3 linked regions of the Caenorhabditis elegans genome follow. The gene in region 1 interacts genetically with each later gene. Each region holds a gene or a part of one and is shown on either strand. Other genes may lie near its edges.

The links. A genetic interaction does not mean that the proteins touch.
Region 2: of cku-80 (region 1) and unc-84, changing one suppresses a phenotype caused by changing the other (phenotypic suppression), as found in Caenorhabditis elegans (one study listed by BioGRID).
Region 3: changes in cku-80 (region 1) and atm-1 impair growth when combined (synthetic growth defect), as found in Caenorhabditis elegans (one study listed by BioGRID).

Annotation. Positions count from the first base shown.
Region 1 is NC_003281.10:4,417,728-4,424,602, reverse strand, and holds cku-80 (ATP-dependent DNA helicase II subunit 2), read right to left. Parts: upstream 4,756-6,875; 5' UTR 4,748-4,755; coding exon 4,607-4,747; intron 4,560-4,606; coding exon 4,364-4,559; intron 4,315-4,363; coding exon 4,137-4,314; intron 4,091-4,136; coding exon 4,007-4,090; intron 3,685-4,006; coding exon 3,612-3,684; intron 3,562-3,611; coding exon 3,327-3,561; intron 3,282-3,326; coding exon 3,151-3,281; intron 2,706-3,150; coding exon 2,390-2,705; intron 2,338-2,389; coding exon 2,277-2,337; intron 2,232-2,276; coding exon 2,146-2,231; intron 2,093-2,145; coding exon 1,674-2,092; intron 1,622-1,673; coding exon 1,489-1,621; intron 1,436-1,488; coding exon 1,347-1,435; 3' UTR 1,228-1,346; downstream 1-1,227. Other genes in the region: C28A5.6 (Protein kinase domain-containing protein), read left to right, coding at 235-562, 609-808; R07E5.7 (vacuolar ATPase assembly integral membrane protein VMA21), read left to right, coding at 5,437-5,542, 5,589-5,903, 5,950-6,104; R07E5.19 (Vacuolar ATPase assembly integral membrane protein VMA21 homolog), read left to right, coding at 6,551-6,716, 6,791-6,875.
Region 2 is NC_003284.9:13,581,843-13,590,680, reverse strand, and holds unc-84 (Nuclear migration and anchoring protein unc-84), read right to left. Parts: upstream 5,907-8,838; 5' UTR 5,902-5,906; coding exon 5,705-5,901; intron 5,211-5,704; coding exon 4,930-5,210; intron 4,878-4,929; coding exon 4,049-4,877; intron 3,990-4,048; coding exon 3,547-3,989; intron 3,489-3,546; coding exon 3,225-3,488; intron 2,745-3,224; coding exon 2,589-2,744; intron 2,538-2,588; coding exon 2,080-2,537; coding exon of another isoform or gene 2,068-2,079; exon of another isoform or gene 2,010-2,067; intron 2,005-2,009; coding exon 1,684-2,004; intron 1,632-1,683; coding exon 1,359-1,631; intron 1,299-1,358; coding exon 1,185-1,298; 3' UTR 860-1,184; downstream 1-859. Other genes in the region: col-9 (Nematode cuticle collagen N-terminal domain-containing protein), read right to left, coding at 1-325, 479-646; srf-5 (WAP domain-containing protein), read right to left, coding at 8,081-8,160, 8,210-8,356, 8,407-8,479. UniProt on the Caenorhabditis elegans protein: Involved in nuclear migration and anchoring in hypodermal precursor cells. Most likely recruits anc-1 to the nuclear envelope where anc-1 functions to tether the nucleus to the actin cytoskeleton.
Region 3 is NC_003279.8:180,440-186,722, reverse strand, and holds the start of atm-1 (Serine/threonine-protein kinase ATM), read right to left. Parts: upstream 3,360-6,283; 5' UTR 3,348-3,359; coding exon 3,267-3,347; intron 3,217-3,266; coding exon 3,094-3,216; intron 2,999-3,093; coding exon 2,514-2,998; intron 1,389-2,513; exon of another isoform or gene 1,314-1,388; intron 1-1,313. Other genes in the region: F56C11.3 (Sulfhydryl oxidase), read left to right, coding at 3,952-4,051, 4,107-4,178, 4,223-4,329, 4,378-4,584; F56C11.5 (MARVEL domain-containing protein), read right to left, coding at 4,757-4,909, 4,956-5,060, 5,209-5,472, 6,025-6,123, 6,258-6,283. UniProt on the Caenorhabditis elegans protein: Serine/threonine protein kinase which activates checkpoint signaling in the presence of DNA double strand breaks (DSBs) and other forms of DNA damage induced by ionizing radiation and other genotoxic stresses such as UV.

The DNA.
Region 1 (6,875 bases):
GTGCGTGCAATTGCGCTCCACGACAATATGAAACTATTTATTGGCGGCAAATCCGGAAATTCAAATTTTTAGTAGAAAATTTTAATTTACGTTTTTGACGCCAATACCTAACGATATATAAATTCCGGTGAGCAGAGTTTTCATTGGAGCGCAATCGTACCAACTTTGATTTCAAAACTATAGTTTCTGCGTCGCGATAATATAAACGAGTCTTTGAAAATTTATAATTTTCAGAAATTATCTGAACCACCGAAGCCGAAGCCGGGAAGAGGAAAAAAGGTCAGCCGCGGACTGATCACCCGCGAGTTTTTGTTGGGAATGAGACATGATTTTACTGGTACACAGTCGGCAATGACAGGCTCATATGATTCTACGTCTGCCACATCGTTATCCACGTGGACTTCGTCTACGTGTGCAACTGATGAAGGAGAAGAGAAGAGGAAGTTCAAATGGAGTCTGAAGTCTGAAGAGGATTCTGAAGTTGAGTTTTTCGAAGACTTGGATCAAGAGGAAAGAGAACATTTTAGAAACTATGAGAATCTAGTTGCTCTTTCTGTTAAAGGTATTTTTTATTATTATTGTAATTGTTGGTCATACTCTTGTTATAGATGAAGTGGCCCTCTCGTCTGGATCTGAAGTCGAACCACTCTCTGATATTGATTCTGAGGAGAATCTGGCAATTATTAAAAGACTTGAGAAACGAGAGATGGAAATCGGTTGGGAAGTGTCAAGTGAGCGGGAGAAGACAACCGGCGATAGAAGCCCAGATGATCAACTCGATAAACTGGAAGCATACGAGAAGAAGTGAAAAAAGGAGAAAGATTAAAACTTCCATCGGAACTTGATCTATTACTTGAAATTGAAGATTTGAATAAACTGAACTTGTTTCTTAAATTTGTGAATACCTGAGTCGTCATTTTAGTGGCACAAACTCCGTCAAAGATAGTAGGCAGGCACATTGGCTAGATGTAGGCGATAAACTAGGCATTGAAACCTGTGGGAGGTGCATAGGTATACCTATAGGCATGCATTATGCACACAAGTCGGTAGACATTAAGATCGATGTTTGAGTACTTCTCTGTTATTGTTACCAGTCTGCCTACCGATACACTTGGGTACATCACATTTTCGCCTACCTACGAGCCTACATCTTGCTTTTCCCTACTTTTTCCTCTCACTGTACGTACTAAATAAAAAAAATGCTGACTTTCACATTAAAAAGCGTTCTTTGGGTGATCACCATGATACGGTAGTATGATTTTATTTTCATTTCAGTTCATTCACAGCTTTAAAATGATTGTAGTTAGTTATTTGAGATACATTGCCATAAAATAAAATAAAAATGCTCAATCTTCTTCCCAGAATTCGGCAGCATTGGCGACGGAGACTTCTGACATGCTGACTTCGGAAGAATCAATTGGATTGCATGATTTTTCTGAAATTTGTTGAATGAGGAATGGCAGAAAAGTGGACATGAAATGGTAGTACCTTCAGAAAGAACTTCAGCAAATGGTTCAAAGTCTTCTTCGTCTTTCAACTTCTTGAGAAGTTCATTGAACTCGTCACATTTTGAGTTTTCAACGAAAACTGAGCGAATAACATTCAATTCATTGACGAGAAGCTGTAAATTTAAAATTTAAAGTTTTATTTTGAAAATCTATTTTTGAAAATACCGTAAAGAACTCAGTAACTGCTCCATTTGGTTGAAATTTGCAAGTATTTGAAATCATTTCAAGAATTTTCGAGCAAACACGACTAGCTCCGCCATCTTCCATGATATCCATTTGAACTTCTTCTTTTCTCGTCAATTTCTTTGCATTTGGTTTTTTCTTTTTCTTTTGACTTGCACCATCATCTACCTCATCTGGTTGTGTCATATTCTGTTTTTTCTCCGTCCATTCGGATATCATTGTCTGCAGATCTTCAGGCTCTACCGTAACCCGTTCTCGTTTGGTTTTCTGAATTGGTTGCAGATTGAATTCGCGGCCAAGCTTCTGGAAAATCTCCGGATGTTCTGCTTCGACTCTGCGTTTCGGTGCCATTATTTGATCGAGAATTTGATTGGTTCGATTGGAATGATTTTCGAAGGTATCTGAAATGACAATAATATTATTTCATTTAAACCGAATTCACAAGAATATGTACCGTTTGGATGTAGAACTAAACTTTTGAGAAAATGGCATTGCATCTGCAATTTTGGATCACTCATTCCACCTTCGACCAGTGAAGAGCTGAAAACAATTTTTTATTGGACAATATTTTTCTGAAATTCAAACATTTCATCTTCTTGTAATTGCATACAATCGATAAGGTCATCTACAGCGGAGAGTTGAGCTACTGAAATTTAATTAGTTTTTTGTTAAATTCAAAAGTCTGAATGAATATATACCAGTAGGCTTATTCAAATCTTCATCTTCCTCGTCAAATGAGAATTTCGGGAATTTCAATGTTCTCATATCATCGGAAAATGGTAATTTCACTGATCTTAGATAGAAAACGCCAGTTTCTTCATCTTGATGTGGTAGAAGAGCAATGAGTTGCACATGAGATTTTGCATGGAATGTGTATCGACAAATGGCAGCGACTCGAAGTGAAAGCATTGCTTCGATGAGGGATACGGTAGCTTTGGTGGCACCTGATTTTGGTGAATTGAGAGCAGGAAGTACTGTTTTCGCGCTGGCATCGAGGAGATATGAGTCGAGAATCTAGAAATAATTATTACAATTATGAGATGCGAAATTTTGCGATTTATGAATGGCTATCTTTCTTTTGTTGTGATTTTGAACCAAAAAGTAAAAAAAACGTTATTTTTTTTTCAAAAATGCTAATTTTAGAAGAGAGGTAAGACACCGATTTTTTCGGAGAAATTTGTTTTTGGTCGGAATTATTATTGTGACAACTGGATCTGAAATGAGATTTTTTTGGTAAAATTTCGTGATTAGTTTTTCGGTTTTTTTCTCAAAAAAATGACCATGATTTGTCTATTTTAAAATACAAATTTCAAAATATCGTGTTATAACTGTGAAAAATCGATGAAATTTCAACGGAAACGAAATTTTGAAATTACAGTACTCTTTAAAGGCGCACACCCTTTTTTCGTCGCCTCTAATTTAACATTCTCCGTCGTTGCGAGACCATGTCATATCTTACATTTGCTCTTTTCGTGAACTGTATCAGTTTTAGCACTCCACCAGTCTGTCCCTCGTTGAAATTATGATCATTGTATTTTTCTTTAAGATATTCTGGGTCCATCATGATAACCGATTTTCCGAAATTGTAGCCTGACGCATTAATAATAGATTTTAAAAAATTTAGAATTTCACTACCATGCATAGTTTTTATATTTTCAACGGGTTTAAAGTTTTTCTGAAATTTCGGTTTCTCTTCCAGAACCGGCGATTTGAATTCATCTTTCGGAGCAACTTCGTCAGTTTCCACGTGCATTTGTTCCAATCGAACCATTTCATTTCCTTCGGAATCTGCATTTTTGAACTTGAGTAGTGCTGTAGATTTTTCAGATTTTAGAGCAAAAATCACCGGGAGATGGATTCCAGGAGCAATCTGAACGTTATTTTTATTGTATTAGATTAGATTTCTTCAAAAACTCTTACATCCCACATTTTATTGTATTTTCTCTCGGATTTCTGACGAGCCTGGAAGGTGGAGAGCATCTTTGCGACGTTTCTGGAAATTGTAATTATGATGATATTACTCCAGGCGCGAAATGTTATAGTATTTGCGCCGAAAATACGGTAGCCGGTCTTGACACGACAATTATTGTTAGATACAAACAAGCGTGTTCCTTTAAAGGGTACTGTTATTTTAAATTTTCGTTGTTGTGGAATTTTTAAAGATTTCTCAAATAATATTTATGTGTTTTTAAAAACCATTATTTCAGTTTTTTTTAACGAAAAATTATGGAAAATCGATGAACATTTCGCAAAAAGCGTGTCTAGATTCCGTATTTTTGGCGCAAAAATCGCCAATTTTATTTTTAAAAACTCACTGAAAAGTATATGTTCTTCCTTCTAATGTTTCTGCCAATTCTGCAACTCGAGAAGCAGGATATTCTGGATTTTCATCGATTCCACTGGAATAAGTATTTTTTTTTCAACGCTAAAATGGAAAAATCTTACATTATCATCAAATCTGCATTACTTTCACTAACGGCTTCAACTAAAAGATCGAAATTTTCTTGTCGAATGTTCTCGTTTAATCCATTTGTCAGTACAATCAACGTGATTCCTGATGGATTCGGATACGATTCGATTTGATCTTTTAGCACTGCGACGGCTCCCAGAACACCTTTGAAAACTGAAAAAAATAAATAGGATTTTTGAATTTGTCTTGGATATTCTCTCACAATTTGGATCTATCATTTCTGTATTTTGCTGCAATTCCTTTGTGATAAACTTTAAATGATCAAAGCTGGCTGGTGTAAACTTTTCATTTTGACACTGGACTCCATTAAATGTTTGACCGCCAACTTCTGTTTTGTATTCTTTCGGATCCAAATTGTAGGCCATCACTGAGAAGAGCTCGGGATCTTTGGAAAATAGCTGAAAACAATTTTTTCTTTGAAAGTTTTCTCGAATTTTAGTATCACTTTTCTCGAAACAATCCAATCTGCAGCATTGATCGCATTTTCAAATGCACTTTTTCCAGTTTCAGTGTCTTTCACAGACATATTGGATCCTGCGTCGATAAGGATTACGGTAATCCCGGGAGATACCTTTTTAGGCGGCATTCCTGTAACTTAATTTAAATTGGTGATGTTGAGAAGTTCATATGGAAATATTGCGAAACATGTGAATAAATAATGCGTGCGTTTTTCAAGACTGGCGCGGGTTTTGTACGCAAACACCAACTTTTTGCTGCAGCGAAAAATGAATTTTAAAACATTAAAATTAGAATATTAAAAGAAGATCATTTTAGATACTGCTGGAATATAGCTTTTATCGTTTTTTTTTTCAAATAAAATAAACCAAAACTGATTTTTAAACATTAAAAACCGCTCCCACAAATTCACGAACGTTCGTTCGAACCTCGCGCCGATTATTTTGCGCGTCGAATCTGGTGCACGCGGACAGTTCACCGTCACGCAAAAGTGCACACTCTCAGAGATTGATCACATTTTTCGGTCATTCGTTGTTTTTCGTGAAAATCAAAGTTTAAAAGGGATGTTTCGGGAATTTTTTGTTTGATTTTAAACATAAATTAAACGGTTCTTTCCGAAGTTGAAAGTTCTTCGGTTTTCCGATAACTTCCTCCTTTTCTTGCTTATTTTCAGTGTTGTGTTTGTGTTAAACGTTTTCCTCGTTGCCCGATTTGGTCTTTCGTAATTCTATTTTCTCTGTCAATAACTGACGTTAAATTACACGCTCTATATTTTCATGCGCTCTTCTGGTTCCTCGGTTGTATTTAAATCTTTCCAGAATGAGCGATACTCCAGAACAGGAGCAAGACTTCGAGCTGATCGACGGAGCTGAACGAAAATCCAGCACTTCAGATAGTTTTGAAGCTGTTGATGAAAAGAAAAATGGTATTTTACAAATATATGTTTTTTGTTTAGTGAATTAATAGTTTAGGTAGTCAATCTGTCAGTGAAAACGAGGATGACAATGCTGACAAATCGGCGAAAGAGGAAGATGATGAAGTTGAAGAGGAGATGAAGCTTCCATTCGTTGATCAGTCAATTAAAGACGACGCAAATCGGCCGAAAGAGAAAGACGGTGAGGACCTAGTAGAAGAGGCACTGAAAGCACCGATTCGACCCGATCAAGAACAATTCTACACAGCAGAGCATTCGAATAGAGCTATAACTCTGCTCATCGCATTTTCTGCAATGATGTTCACACTTCCACTGCTTGTTATGGCAAGCTTGTATTATTGGGTATTCATCGGTAAGTGGACTTTTCCAGAATCAATTTTATAGATAATTTGTTTCAGACCACTTCCATTTACCACCAGCAGAAGCCATGCTTTATGCCGGAGTATGTGCTGCCTTGGTCGTAATTCTCATTGCTGCCGCTTTCTGTTATATTGCATGGAAAGAAGAGAAAGACGCCGAAGACAAACTCAGAGCAGAGAAAAAGAAAGAATAGCGTGGCTGTGTATTATCTTCTTCAAAAATTCCTCCTGAACATTCACTTCCCGTTTGGACCTCGTTTACTTATTTGTGATCACTTCGACCCGTTCTATTTATATTAGTGCCTCTGGCTAGATGCTTTTGTACATAACGAATAAATTTTTTTTGTTATATTTTTTCCTTACTAATTGAATTTTTCTCTCTGAAGCGTAGTTTTCGCTTTACTATATTTTAATTTGAAATTGTCAAATTTTGTATCTCTTGATTTCCTTTACTTTTGGCGCCGCTGGATTCAACTCGGGATATCCGGGATTTTTTTTAATTAAAAAAAAACAAATTTTCGGTAAGATTCTCCCAGAAACCTTGGTATGAACCTATTCTCCCCTTAATAATCTTATTTTTTATTCCAATAATAATTATTTGATTTTAAACCCATGGATATACCGAGTTGTTTGCAGCGAAATGACCACTTCCTCTTCATCCGAACCATCAACAATGGCAACTCTGTTCCCGAACTTTCGTGATCAGGAAGTCCAATCCGCTGTCAAGAACCTTCTCACGTATAGTCTTGTGATTCTCATCGTTCCTCTTGCTTCTATGTTCCTCTTGAAACAATTCTTTTTCGAAGGTACAGAGCTTGTTCTACCGATTATTTTTAATTTTTGAAAAATGAATAAAATTCCATTTTCTCTCCTATTTCAGGGCTCCTGGGTGTCAGTGCAAACGACGCTTTGACCTATTCTGCGATCATTGCTGTCGTCCTCGTCCACGTGGTTTTGGGTATCTG
Region 2 (8,838 bases), on another chromosome or scaffold:
CGTGACCACCTGGTCTTCCTGGTCGACCTGGTTTTCCTGGGTGGCCAGATGGACCGGGAGGACCTGGATTGCAGCATCCCATGCAGGTTCCTCCTTCTGACGCAACAACAATTCCGCTGCGTGGTGGGCTTCTCCAACCATTATTCTTCTTTTTCTGGGATCTATACCCAGTATTATAGCCGCGGGGTTTAATATTGCTTCCTCTTCCAACAGCGTAACCAGTGTTACCTTCACCTCTAGTAACAGTGTAAGCTTCGCGAATTGTTCGATTGTGGACGATGTCGACATCTTCGGTCATATCAAACCAGATTTCGTTTATAGACTTCTGAAAATATTATACTCTTAATTGCCGCAAACTTCTATGTAAAATGACAATTATGTTTTGCTAGGAAGAACTTCAATTACTAAAATGTTCAGGTATACACTACTAAAAACTATTTCAGCACAAAACATTACTAATGCTTAGTTTATCACTCACCTTGCAATATGCTCCTTCTCTGCTAATAGTCATCATTCCATTTTGTGCATGCTCGTAAATCAACGGTAGTGTTACACAAAGAAACGCTGTAGCTATTACTGAGCTTCCAACGACAGAGTACGCCACAAATTTGAAAATTCGTAATTTTAAATCTACACAGGACTCCATGAAAATTGAAGAAAATACAATGTTAACGCTCTCGCATGGTTTAGTATATATAGCCCGAGGAATACAAAAGAAATGATCAATGAATGTGTTAGGCGGTATACTCAATTAATGTCGTTTGCTGCGAATCCATCGGTTACGGTTTGTTATGCCAATCTAACACTTATTCACTCTTCCACATAATGGGTTTTAGTTCAGTTTTACAAGAACAAAAGATATTGAAATAATTTATGAAAATCGATAAAGTATTTTGAGATCAGGGGGTAAAGGCTGCAGAGAAATAGAGAGTGATTGGTTTTGCATTCAAATATATTCAGGCCAAGTATTCAGGAGACCGGTAAACTGCATGAAAATGTAATGATATTCTATACTTTGAAAAAAAATGGACACGCGCTAAAAATATAACAAGGGAACTGGAAAAATTTGGGAAAATGAATTGTGATTTGAAAAATTGGCAGGAGAGGGGTGAAATTGAAACATTTCGGAATCAGATCAATGGAAATTGAAAATTTGACCATAAAAACAAGATTAACAAAATAAATTAAACTTGAACAACTTTTCCATGAACACGAAGGCGGTAGAGACATGTGAACGGAGCTCCGTAATTGCTTGTCACCTCGAGCTCCACAAACTTGACAGGAAAATCGGGTTTGTGCTGAAAATGTTAATTCGATAATAGCCACACACTTGTCAAGAATTAATCATTCGGACTTACCTTGGCAAGGAAGAATTGAAGTGGCGGGCCATCAAGATCATAAGTGTAGTCGCCAATCAAAACTCTCGAGTTCAGGTCGTCAATCTGCTTGTAAGCCCAAACGAGGACTCCCTTTGGAGCACTCGACCGGTTCCCTTCTGGAGCAACTTCTGATCCAATGTGCTCATAGCTGATGCTAGAAACATCAATGAAATGAGACAGCTCGACAGCAATGTAGCCACGGGATTCTTTGAAGCACCAGCATTCCCCAGGAAACAGGGATTTGGAATTTCTCTGAAAATGAAAAGATAATAGGCTTGGAGTCAGAGGATCCTAAAGCGCTCACCTGAATGACAACTCTTGGAGAGTAATGGAAATAGTAGATTGGGATATCCCAAAACTTTTCCAGCCTTGTGTAGCTTTTGTACGTCTCCGAGCATCTTGTTGACACAACAGCTCCACCTGAGCTCTCCAGGGCATAGTCAACTTTCCCAGTTTTATCCGTGTCATACTCGTAGATCATTTGACGGATGATAGCTTCCAAATGATTCTTATCATATTGAATGTTGGTGTTTTCCATTTTCAGTTGCTCAATAATTGTGTTGTAGTTTTGCTCAAACTTTGCGCTAAGCTCTTGCTGGAATTGGGCGGACAACTCGGCGCGAAGCTAAAAATAACAAAAATCTTTATTATGTACATATGTACAAAACATCAATCATTCAATAATTGATTAGTTAGTTACCTTCTCCGTTACCTCCTTAATGATAGCATCTTTGTCAACAGTCTCAACAACGTTAGTCTGATGGATAATTACTGGGGCCGGAGTTGGCGCTGGGACTGGGATAGGTTTAGGTGCGGGGGCGGGAATTATCACTAGTTCTTCGTCCTCCACATCGGTGACTTTTCTCAGTGGCTCTTCAACAATACGCTCCACATCCGGAGTTGGGGTAATAGCTTGTGGAATTGGAATCACTTGAACAACATCTTCTGGAGCATATTGGCTGATGCGAATCCAAGCACGAGTGCACAAACTGAATGGGTAGGCAATGAGGAAGAGAATCCAGTTAATTACAGTTTTGAGCACGGAAACCACGGAGTTGTACACTTTTCCAAAGACTGCCGCTACCTCATTGAAGAAATACATGTAGTTATCACCAGCAAAGTTGAACACTCCAGCGATTGGTGCATAAATGAAGTTATCTGAAGAAAAAACACCATTTAAGTTTATAGTTTGAAAATTGTAGCACTTACAAAAAATGTTAGTGATTCCGGTGCCAAATGACTTGAGAAGAGAAAGAATGGAGTTTTGGGAAGAAGTAGAAAAGTTTAAGAGACCGGCAAAGATAGTTGAGAAAAAGTTGTAAACAGCATTTGAAGCATTGTAGATGAAGCTCTTTGTATGGCCAACTGTAAAAAAAGCGATTTTCTTTGGTTTTTTGTAGTGTCTTTCTTGTTGTAAATACAAATAGTGAAAACAGATAATATCATTTTTTTACGTGTAAATGGTACTTGCTGGTACTACAAAAGTTTTTTGATGTTTCAAAAAAAATTAAATAAAACGTGAATGGTATTTTAGGCTTAGGATTCTACTCAATTAATAACTCAAAAAGTTAATAAGTTCTAAGCCTGAAAAATAAAATAATACTAGCATGTTGCTCAACACTTTTATTTCCATTTTATTTCATTCGTTACAAACATTTTGGAATTCAGTTTTCTATTTCACAAATACCAAGTAAATTACTGTTCTGAAAAATAAAAGCTAATACTCATGTCCCATTGATAAGATGTTGAAAATTACTAAAGATTTCCAGCATAATGGATTGATCGAATTTTAATTTTTTAAAGTTTTACCACATTTTGACTGCATACAATTTGTATTTTCCTTACCAATTGCTGTGCATCCGTTGTACAAGGTCTCGTAGCAACCGTTGAAAAAGGTTCCGATAGACTTGTTTGCTGACAAGAACCCATCTGAGCCATAGTAAAATAGCTTTCCAGCACAAAAATCGATGAATCGAAAACTCGATGAGAGCACAGATTTTAAGCCATTTCCAACAGCGCCACATCCGCTTGCAATCAGGTCCCAAGCATAACGTGGAGTAGTGCCAAGTCTACCAATCGTCGACTTTCCATAGTTGTACGTGTCAAATGCTGGAATTTAAAGATGTTGTTTTCTACACTGAACAGAAAAATGAGATTTATAACATACCAATATCTACAACAAATTCCTTCACCATCCATGTGTAATGTTTAACGTGATTTGCAGCTGAAATCCAGATTGGCACAGCTGGGAGGGATCCTTCCGACTTCTTAGATGCATTCTTATCTTTGGTAATTTCTTTAACTCTTATTGCTGTGTTGTCAGATGTCAGGAATCCAAGGAGAAAGATGGCGAAGAGAAGAGCCAGAAGTAGACCGAGAATTTGACACCACGAGAACTTTGATGATTTCTTATCGGTAAGACCAGCAAATAGTCCTCCAAAATAGGAAACTGTCTCAACAATTCCTCCTTTGAACATTGCAAATACCACTTGATGCGCTTCAACGATTGTTGCTACGAATGAGCTCAAGAAATCGGCAATTCGAATTCTCCAAGAAACACCAACAGCATCATGAACATCTGATGAACTTGGTGCCGGTTCGTTGATATCTCTGTATAAATAACATGAAAAAAATTGAACTCGGTCATCATAAATTTAAAATGTTCATACCTGACATGAATAGTCTCCATTGGCGCTTGCTGATAATTGGTCAGCTTCATGTAGGCACTCTTTCCATAATCGTAGAACGTATACCATACATGTCGTGCCGCAAAGAACGGGAACAATATCAAGTAACCTAGCCAAGTGAATGCAGTTTTAATCTTATTTCCTGTCGCTTCTTCGTATTGATAATTGTAAGTTTCTTGTGGGAACAAAGGCGTGGAAGTTGCAGCAGCATGACCAATGTCAAAAGTTGGTTCAGGAGTATTCAGATGACTCAGTCCTCGGCTTCGAAGTCCATATGTGGAGAGTGGTGTGTCGATTTCGAGTTCCGGAGTATCGAGTGCTCGAGTTATAGCTTCACGAGTGGCACGGGTTTGGCGGAATCTTGGGGTAACTGAGCGTTGCTTCACTGTTCTAGTAGTCACAACAGTCGGGGTTATATTTTCGGACGTTCCTTCTCCGAATGGAGAGCTCGAGAACACCTTGGCAGTGATTCTGGTAATTGTACTAGTCTTCACAAAGGCTGGAGCTGCTCGGCGTGCTGGTGATTTCGATAATCCATCAAACTTGCGGCTTCTTTCCAATGTTTGAGATCTTGTCGTCATTCTGCTAGCTCTCTCATTTTCCAATTGATCCTTGATCGAACGGTACTGGTACTGTTCCACGCCATTGTTACTTCTTGTGAGCATTCTGTAAGGAGTAAGCACGACGTAGACAAGGATCTCAAAGAATCGACGAATAGAACGAGCAGCCTTAGTGGAGAATGGCTCTTGCCGGTTGCGAATGAGAGCTGTACGGCGACGATGATCTTGGTAGGCGTAGTAACGAGTTTTCGCTGAAAAAAAATTTTTTTTTTAATTCTAACATTTTGCAGAAAAACAACTTACCGAGTTTCACCAAATACAACAGGTAGTCCCAGATGGTGAAGCTAGTGATCTTGATGACGTGGTAGAAAGCTTCCAAAATGTAGGTGATGACGTGAAGAACAAGGTAGACGGGGAAACGGAGGATATAGAGAAGCTGTCTGCTGAGACTGGCCGCTGACCAGTGCTCCTGCTCAGAGAGTGATCCTGAAGTAGTACCACCAAGGTTTGGCACTTCCCAGTGGTCCGGCAAGGATGGATCGTAGATTTTGCTGTATGCGTATGTGTAGTTGGTTGCGTATGGTCTGAAAAAGAAATTATGAAAATTTTATTACATTAGGAATATAAGTTCAACATTTGAAAATGCCAGGAAAAGTTAATCTTCTATTATAGGTTTCGTTTCGCCTTGGTTTTCTAATTTTTATACAAGACTTGTAAACACTACATATTTAAAATTAAACAACCAACATTCACACAGACTTAAAACTCAAAAAGAAACGGAACCACCAAGAGCTCACTGGTAAGTGACCTTTATTCTTCTTCTTCCCGCTCAGATTCCTTCGCCTTAACCCACCCTTGTAACCCGATACTTTCTGGTGTTCTACTTTTCCTCTTTTCCACCTCACTGCTCAGAACAACACAGCTTTTACATATTTGTCAAAGGCTTCTAGGGCGTCAAGTACAAGCAAACTGAGTTCCAAAATACACAAACAAAACGTGGCCTAGCAGGTGCGCGTGAAACCTCGGCCGTATGTGGCGCGAAATTTGAATGAGAAAAAGGGGGAGGGGGGTAACATACAAGTCGCCTGTCAAAGCATCCAGCTCTTCTTCGGTAAGACGTGGCGATCTGGCGTTTCGAACTGGTGGAGTCAGGAGAAGCTTCCGGCGAACTTTTGCAAAAATGTTTGGAGAATTGCGTCCAGAGCGTGTGGATGCGAATTCCGATTTCCATTCATGGGTGTCGAAGTTGTTGTCGGCTTCCGTTGCGGGAGCCATAGTACCTGCAAAACACAATTTTAAGGAAGATATTAAAGATATTAAAGAGCGGTGAAAAAAGAAGTATTGAAGTGAGAATAAAAAAGTAACAAAACTTGCAAGCATCGAGTCTCTGTCTTTGTTTGATTTTGAACTACGCATGATTCATCGCACCAAAATCTGTGCGCTTTACAGAACGAGCAAACACTTTTATGAAGACAAAAGGGCTTGAGAAGGAAGAAGACTGGGAGACGTTCGTGTTTCTCACGATTATAATCACCTGTTGGTTTTGATGGGCTGAGAAAAGAATATATAATACTGCCTGATTTTATTATGAAATTTAAGAGAAAAAAACTGGCAAAAAAAACAAAACATATCACATCACAACAAATTAAATACGCAACTTTTCGAAACATCGCAAGGCAGAAAAAATTCAAACCAATGTTGTTTGTGTGCTCACCCCGTCGGGCCCTCCGTCTCTTCACCTTGCACACTATACTCGAATCGATATTGTTTGTGTGAGTGTTTTTCTGGGCGAAAGGAGGAGAAAGGGAGGGCACACACATACACGCAACAGTGAGCGTCGATTTAATGGTTTCGGTCGGTCACCCCAGTCTCCAATCGCCATCACCCCCGCCGAATGGTGCAGGTGGTGGACAGCAGATAGGGGGAGAGGGGGTGAGGCAGTGTGTTTTTTGTAGAGAGTAGTTGTCTGGCGTACGGTGACAAGCGATGGAACCGAGTGAGGGAGTGTGAGATGGGAAGAGAGAACACCAGAGAAGAACATGCATCTACGTGTTGCCCTCTAAACACGTAAACAGGCCGAAGGAATTAGGCATCATTGCAATGGGCAACAAATCGGTGAGAAGTACTGTGAAAGAATCGGAAGTGTGTCTCGCCTTACCACGTAACCTTGAGGCTAATTTACAAGCCCAATTGAAAAGTGTTGTAACGATTAGACACAGTCAAGAGCAGATACGGAGAAGTTACTAGTTTTCAATAAACGTTTGTAGAAGAACATGAAATACATATCAGTACGTCAGATATAGGCTATCAGTAAAATAAACCCTCAACCAAAAACACAAGCACAATCTGCGTGTCCACAATGTTTTCCGCTTTAAGTACTGAACTATGTCTGTTTTTTTTATAAAGCACAACTTCCAGATCAGTTACTTCGGCCTGCGTGGAAGGTTTGAATGATTTTAAATTCTCAAATCAATCGCATGGCTCTGATCTCTGGTGTTGTTTTTGTTGACTTTTTCTACAATTTTTGAACAGTGATCTATTGGATTCACATGGTTATGAAACTAACAAAAACTACGGTGTTTATTTACTATAGCAAAACTTTTTTCTAATTTTAACTTTTAAAAATTGAAATCAGGTTCTTCTAGAATATTGAAAATGCCGCTTTTCAAACTGAAATCAATTTTTTGAGTTTTTGAAATCAATTTTTTGAGTTTTTGAAGCCTACTGCCAACTTTTTGAAAAACTAATTCAAAAGTTTTCCAGAAGATTTTCAATTTTTAAATTTTTTTGTTGTATTTTCATGTCTATTCACAGAGTGAAAAATATTAAAAAAATATATAAAAACCAAATTTATCAAGAACTAATCAGATTTCCCATTCTCAAATTTCCAAACATCTTGATCGAATTAATCGGGATTTTGATGGGTAATCAAGTGTTAAATATGTTTTAAAGAGGGAGTAGTTTAAATGGGGAAAACATCAAAGCTTATAATGCAGTGCATACTGAGGAATTAAAAGAGAAACTGAACATTTTTTTGAAAAATGAGAGAATATGCTTGAAAATTTATTATAATTTTAAGTAGACGCTCAAGTTTTTCATTTTCTAGATTGATTTTTTTAATACAAAACTTTCTGTTTGTTAAAAAAAAACAAGTTTATATAACAGTCAGTGCGCGCGAAATTCAAATTTCATCCACTTCAACTATGTTTGTCGCTTTAGAGTAAAAAATTATCGGTGTGAACTTTTCTCACTCTTTTTCTCAATAACGTCCTTTTGACTTGCTTCGTTTTCAAAAATAAAACACAATATTTTTTATGGAGAAAGTTTGAAAAAAAAAAGAAATTGAGCGAATAGGAAAAGTGAAAAACGTTTCTGCAAATAAAGCTAATCCAAGAGAGCAATGAGCAAACATTGACGTTCAAACGTGAGGAAAAAACGAAATAAAGAACAATTTTCAGAGCTCAGCATCTTCCATTTCTGCTTCTTTAATGTCGGCTTCAATTTCTTGTTGTCGCTTCCATTGGTCAATTTTATCTGGAAAAGCACAATTTGATTTACTTTCAACATTCATATTTGCACTTACAAGTGTGAGCACAACAGAAATCCATTCCACATCTAGAATGCACACACGAATACGGTTTTTGACATTTGACTCCGCCCATTGCGTCACAAGTCTGTGGGGTATCATCTGCCTTTCTCATCACATTCCAACCTCCGGGACAGTAATCCTCTACAAACATCGAATTTGTTTGATGGATTAGAATACAAATGGCAACTAACCTGCTTTACATACACTATCCACTAGATTAACCAAGAATGCCAGAAAAATGAGACAGATGATGATGATTCTCATATTGAAGTGAAGTGACCCGGTGAATGGGATGAATAAGGAAAACTGTGAAGGAAGAAGAGGAACAGTCGAGATTGCTATCTGGCACGCAAAAATGAGGTCGCTCTAGATTTTAAAGTTCCAGTTAAGATCTAGCTGGGAGAATATGAATTGAAAATATTAGGGGGCAAGATTCCAAAATTTGAAGATATTGTAACACTTCCTGATCACATGCAAAATTTCCGTTCAGAAACGTTGCAAGCGTTCAATTTTTTGCAATGTTAAGTTCACGACGTTATGAGCAAACACAGTAAAGAAGGAAGATAAAATTACAAAATATGGGGGTCAGGATAGCACAGTCGGTAGTGGTGGCCGCTAGCAAT
Region 3 (6,283 bases), on another chromosome or scaffold:
CGTACTTGCGCAGTTTGTTCATATGAGCATCGGTTCGTATCCAGCGATAACTATGGTGCATAGTCGTTATCGGCCTACTTCCAATTTTTCCGCTACGGTAGAAGGTGATCGCTTTATCCAACTCTTCCCTTGATACAGCTTTCTCACCGAACAATACATCATCTTGATCCGGCAACACACAGTCATACGGCTGAAAGGTTTTTTAAATGACAATTAATAGTGTCGAAACCAACATACCTCAAAAACTTCTGGCTCCCAATCGCCATATTCTTCTTGAACCAAATATTCGGATTCTTCCACACTGGTATCTCCATAATAAGATTCCTTTATAATGCTTGCCAAATGATCTGCCACCTTCTGCTCATGTCTCGAAATCGAGGGATTTGATGGGAGGGGATTGGGAAAATGACGATGCAAGGCAAACATCACGTTTCCGATATCAAAAGACATTGAATAAAAGAAAACCAATAGAATGTAAACTATTAAAGTGACAATTTCAGTGAAATTTATCAAAATACGAAAATAATAAAATTAAAAATTAGCGCCAGCTAACTATTTAGCAGAGCAAATACGTTTTGACCCAATATAAAAACAATAATATGAAAAAAAAAAATTAAAATAAAGTTTTACCAAATCGATATTGGCAAAACATCTTGTTTTTGAGGCTCCATATCTCTGCAGGAAAAAATCGCACTAAAAAGTGATTAACTGAAAACTTGTTAAACACAATGTAATCTGAAACTTTTCAGTTGAACACTTTTTTGTAAAAAATTTCGTTGCCAAGATATAGATCTTTAACTATTTAGAATATTCAAAAATAATGAAGCTCAAATCAATTGGTTCCAACTCGGCAACGAAATTTTTTACAAAAAAGTGTTCAACTGAAATGTTTTAGATCACATTGTGTTTAACAAGTTTCTAGTTGATCACTTTTTAGTGCGATTTTTTCCTGCAGAGATATGGAGCCTCAAAAACAAGATGTTTTGCCAATATCGATTTGGTAAAACGTCTTGATAAGGCATCAGAATCAATGATTCGGTCATTGAAAATAATGAAAAATAGGTTATTTGTGACACTCTAAAATATTTCATGCATTTTTAAAAAAATTTCAAAAAAAAATTTTTCGATCAAATTTTCTCATGGGTTTGGTGGAGAAAAAAGTGACAATTTTCGAAAAAAATTAAAATTTCTGAAAAGTTTCCAGGGTAATTATGGTTCAATTAAAAAGCAAAAAAATTATGTAAAACCCTCAAAAAAATGTTCTAAATACTTGTTTCCCGTTCTGAAAATTTTGTATAAAAAAGGCCAAAAGTTAAACCATGTATGGGAACCGAACCCACAAACTTCTGCTCAAGAGGCGAACGCGTTCACCACTCGACCACCGAACCGATGTTTTCGCCCTTCCACCATTGTGGTGAGACTTCTGTTGGCGCCAGAGACAAAAATCCACTGTTAACCATAGGAAATGCACTGATTTCAGTGTAGAATTTCAGACGTAAAAATTTCAGATTTCCAGCCCGAACGGGCAAAAATTTCAGTCATATTCTTATAGTAGAGAATGCCAGCTTTCCGATACAATATATTTTTTTTGAATATCGCTCCATTTATTCTGGTCATTCCCTAGTGAGCCTAACAAGGGAAGTATTTCAACTTAATCCCGGATTTCTGAATGAAACCTATGTCATTTCGAAGAAGACCCTTTAAGTAGGCCCCTACAAAAAAATTTAGCGGCAGAGGAGCACTTTGAACTGGAAAAAAGTCGCTCTGAAAATTTTTCTCTGCGTCCTCTCCTTTTCCAAAGCTATTTCTCACGTCCCTATATATTTAAGTAGATATCAAAGAGTCACGTTTTTTTGTCATCCATTTCATTTACAAGAAAAATTGTCGTTGAATGACCGAGTGGTTAGCGAGTTTGATTAATATTTTTTAAGACTGGGGTTCGACTCCGGGTGCCGATTTTTTTCCAAAATTGGTTTTTGCAGTTCCGAAAAATCTCAAAAAAATTTTCATTGTGTAAAAACACCCAATTTTGATCTTAAATAACTGACAACTTTTCTGAAATTTAAAAAAAATATATATATATATTCACTGAAAAATTTTGCCATGGACTTATTCAAAAAATTTCAGATTTTTTCGAAAATTTTAAAAAATTCCAAAAAAAATTCCGAGTGCTCTCCGGCCCCTGAGCATCCTAGAAATCTTCAAAAATCTACAAAAATTCGCATTTGGAGCCATTTTACGGGCCTTGAAAGCCGTGAAAAAATGCACTGAAAAGTTTTCAGAGCGACTTTTTTCCAGGTCAAAGTGCTCCTCTGCCGCTAAATTTTTTGTAGGGACCTACTTAAAGAGTCTTCTTCGAAATGACATAGGTTTCATTCTGAAGTCCGGGAATAAGTTGAAATACTTCCCTTGTAAGCCTATGCCTAAGCCTAAATCTAAGCTTAAGCTTAAGCCTAAGTCCAAGCCAATTTGAATTTTTTGAACATTATTTCAAGAACTCGTTTTCCACGCACTATTCTTTGGGATTTCCCATTTCCACACTTTTCTTCAGTGTTCCCATCACTTTCGCCATCAGGTCAATAGGCGACTTCTCGAAAACCACGTAATCCACGTTTTCCAGCAAGTTCGCCGCCAATTCCATATAATTTCTCATGGCGAGTGCCCCAATATCGGCGGTCTCGACACGGCTCCAAATCCATTTCCATAAGCTGCTCAAATGAGCATGCTCGGCCCAATGGAGCTGTGAGGCGTTGGAGCTCAATAGGAGCACGTTGGAAATCTCGTTTTCGATCGATTTTTCGGTGATTGTGATTGGAAATTCCAGTAGTTTCAGACAATATGCTATCCATGGCACCTGATTGTGATCGATTCCCTGCTGACAGCAACGTTTTAAATGTTGTATTGATAGCTCGAAAAGTGGAGTTGGGACTGGTTTTTCGCTTCGTCTTGTGCCCTTTTTTCGTTCTTTTTCGAATTGTTGGTTGGCTTCTTCGATTTCCTGGAATTTTTTGCTCTCATAAGCCTCAATATTTTTTAATGCTTATTTTTAAATTTACTTGTTGTTTACGACTTTTTAACAAAAAAAAAACTAACTTTCTTAGCTAAGTTGAATATACGTGCAGATAAATCATACAAATCATATATCTCCTGGTTATCCTCACTTAATGCCTCCGCTCCCAGAGCGTGATAGAGAAGAACCACCTCGTCGACGATTTTCTGCAAAAAAACAAATCAGGTTTTTTCGATAAATTCCACCAAAAACTTGCCTTTCTCGCCGTTTTCGTTCCATCCCACTCCAGAAGCTGAGCTATCGCGTGTTTCAGATTTTTTAGCTGAGTAACGCTCATTTTCGCATATTTCTGCAAACAAATTGTAAAGTGTGACGAGTTTCAGGTGATAAAATGCTTGAGGTGGGCGAGTGTTATCAATAAATTGAGAAAATAGAAGAATTTTTGATCAGCTGGGCGGAAAATGCGGTAAATAACGAATTTTTGTAGGGAAAATTGATTTTTGAAGGATTTTCCCAGGTTCAGACCACTAAAAAAATTGTAAATCTCTGTTAAAAGTGATTAGATGCAACAAATAATTAATTTTTACATTGCAAAGCAAGAAAATCCACCAAAAATCCGCCAAAAATCTATTTTTTGGGCTTTAAAAATCAAGACAATTCAAAAAAGCTTGATTCCCGCGCGCCACGATTTCCCTCATCTCGAGATTTCTCTGCGTCTACGCTCTCTAACGCGTGTCAGTGGAGCGCACTTGCATTTCTTGTTTTTAGTTAATTTTTTTTCGTTTTTGCATCATTTTTTGCGCAATTTCTCACATTTTTGACCTATTTTTAATGCATTTCTATAGATTTGTCGTAGACTATGTATAGTTTCATAAGTTTACGCCCTAAAACGGCTTCTAAAACTGACGAAACGAAAACCAAGTTTAAAAATTAATTTCAGAATGGAAATCGGTCCAGATGGAAAGCCGTGTCGTGCATGCGTCAGTGTAGAGGATATGATGAAAAAAGGCAGAGAAATGGCTGAAAAAATAAAGAAAAAAGGTGATTTCCCTAGATTTCCAGAGCAAAAAATCTCAATTATTTTAGTTCTTTGCAGAATCCGAGACGACGCCGAGCACGAGCACAGGAGCGAAGTTGCACGGATGTCCAGTAGACAAGGATGAGCTCGGTTCGCTTTTAATTCAAATTTCCACCAAAAATTTCAAATTTCAGGCAGATCCACGTGGAATTTGCTACACACAATGTCGGTTTACTACCCGGAAAAGCCTACCGACGAGGATAAGGATCGAGCCAGAAGTTTCATGTCTATTCTAGGAAAAGTTAGCTAATAAGCTCAAGATTCCCACAAAAACGCCTAAATTTTTCAGACATATCCCTGCGATTTCTGCGCCAAAGATCTCCGAAAAGATCTGAAAGAATCGCCGCCAAAAGTGGAAAGCCGCGAGGCGTTTGCGCTATGGATGTGCCAGCTACACAATAAAGTCAACGAAAAAACCGGAAAACCAAAGTTCGAGTGTCGAGATGTGATGCAAAGGTGGCGAGACGGGTGGAAAGATGGATCGTGTGATTATTAATTGAGAAGAATAAATAGAATATATCAAAGATTTTTGTACAGAATTCGAAAATAAAGTATGAAAAAATTAAAGCCTGACACATGTGATAAAAGTGAAGAATTTCGGGACATATATACACAAAAATTTACCGGATTTTTTCGAGAAAAATTCAACAAATGGTCTAAAATATAGACTAAAAATCGGTGGCCTGAACGATTTGATTGGGGTATAGTGAGAGTTGAATCGTCTTCGGCGCACAATACTCCTCGACCGACGGAGTACGAGATTGAAGTTTCTGGCTCTTCAAAAGCTGGTAACTATCGATGACGACGTACATGCACCAGGTCTGCAAAAATTAAAGTTACATGGGTCTCGCCATGGGAAAAGCTCACATTCAGCACAGCGATGAGCAAGTAGGAGACTGCGAAAATGACGAGAAGGCCCACTAGGAATCCGGAAACCACGTTTGTTGTGATCATTGGCGCCGGGAGAATTGTCTGGAAAATTTAAAATACATATATTAATGAAAAAAAAAAATTTTTTTCGCAAAATGGGTCTTTTTTTTGGAAGCAAAAAAATGAGGAAAAATTGAGGAAAAAGAAGGAATTTCCCAAGGAAACAAATTTCATTTTTTACCACACTTACCATGGAATCAGCGGCGATTTGCGGATTTGTAACCACGACGAGCAACTGAAACGTGGCACCGTGGAAAAGCGCATAAAGCGTCGCACATGTGAGTCCCAGGAAGCACAAAACGAGCAGAATCTGCATGACGATGTGCGGGATGAGAAGATTTCCGATTTGGTAGAAAATCGCGACGAAAAGCAGAAAAATGACGAGCAGAAAGAGCAAGGCGGCGATTGTGAAGACGGTCGAGTGCTCCGAATTGCCCCAACTGCCATTTGAGAGCTGAAATAATTGATTTTCAGTTTGTTTTTTCAATGGGAACTGATTTTTTTAGTGAAAAAGAATTTTTAAATTACTGTAGGATTGAGTTTTTCATTGATTTTTTCCACACAAAACTGAAAATTTTCAGATTTTTTTTAGGTTTTTCCAGTTTCTCAGATAAACGCTTAGTCGTCTAATTAGATTTCAACCATATTCAACGAGATTTCAACCATATTTTTTAGAAAATCCATATTGCATTATATTTGCTCCATATTAGATTAGAAATCCATGTTAGATTAGATTTTCTCCATATTTCATTAGAAAACAAATCTAATCCAATATGGTCGAAATCTAATCCAATATGGCACGATCTCAGCCATATTTGATTAGATTTGCTCCATATTGGATTAGATTTTAACCATATTTGGTTAGAAAATCCATATTGTCAAATCAAATAAAATCCATAAGCCTATTAATTATGTCCCCATTATATTTGCTCAGTTTCTAATCAAATATGGTTGAAATCTAATTAGACGACTAAGCGTTGGTCTGAGTTGCAGGCAAACAAATTACCTGATAAATTAAAATCGAGAGCTCGACGACGGCGATCGCGATCGATAAGTGATTGACGTGGATGAAGCATCGTTTTGTGTTGTATGTCTGCTCGTCGGCCTGAAATATATATCTTTGCTTAATTTGCTGCTACAAACTTGAAAATTTAGATTTATCTCGAAAATGTGGGGCTTTTAACAAATTTTTTTAAAAATATTTCAGATGTTTTACGTCTTCCGCCGCTTTTTACTCACATTCTCTTCAGATTTTCGCAGTGAGC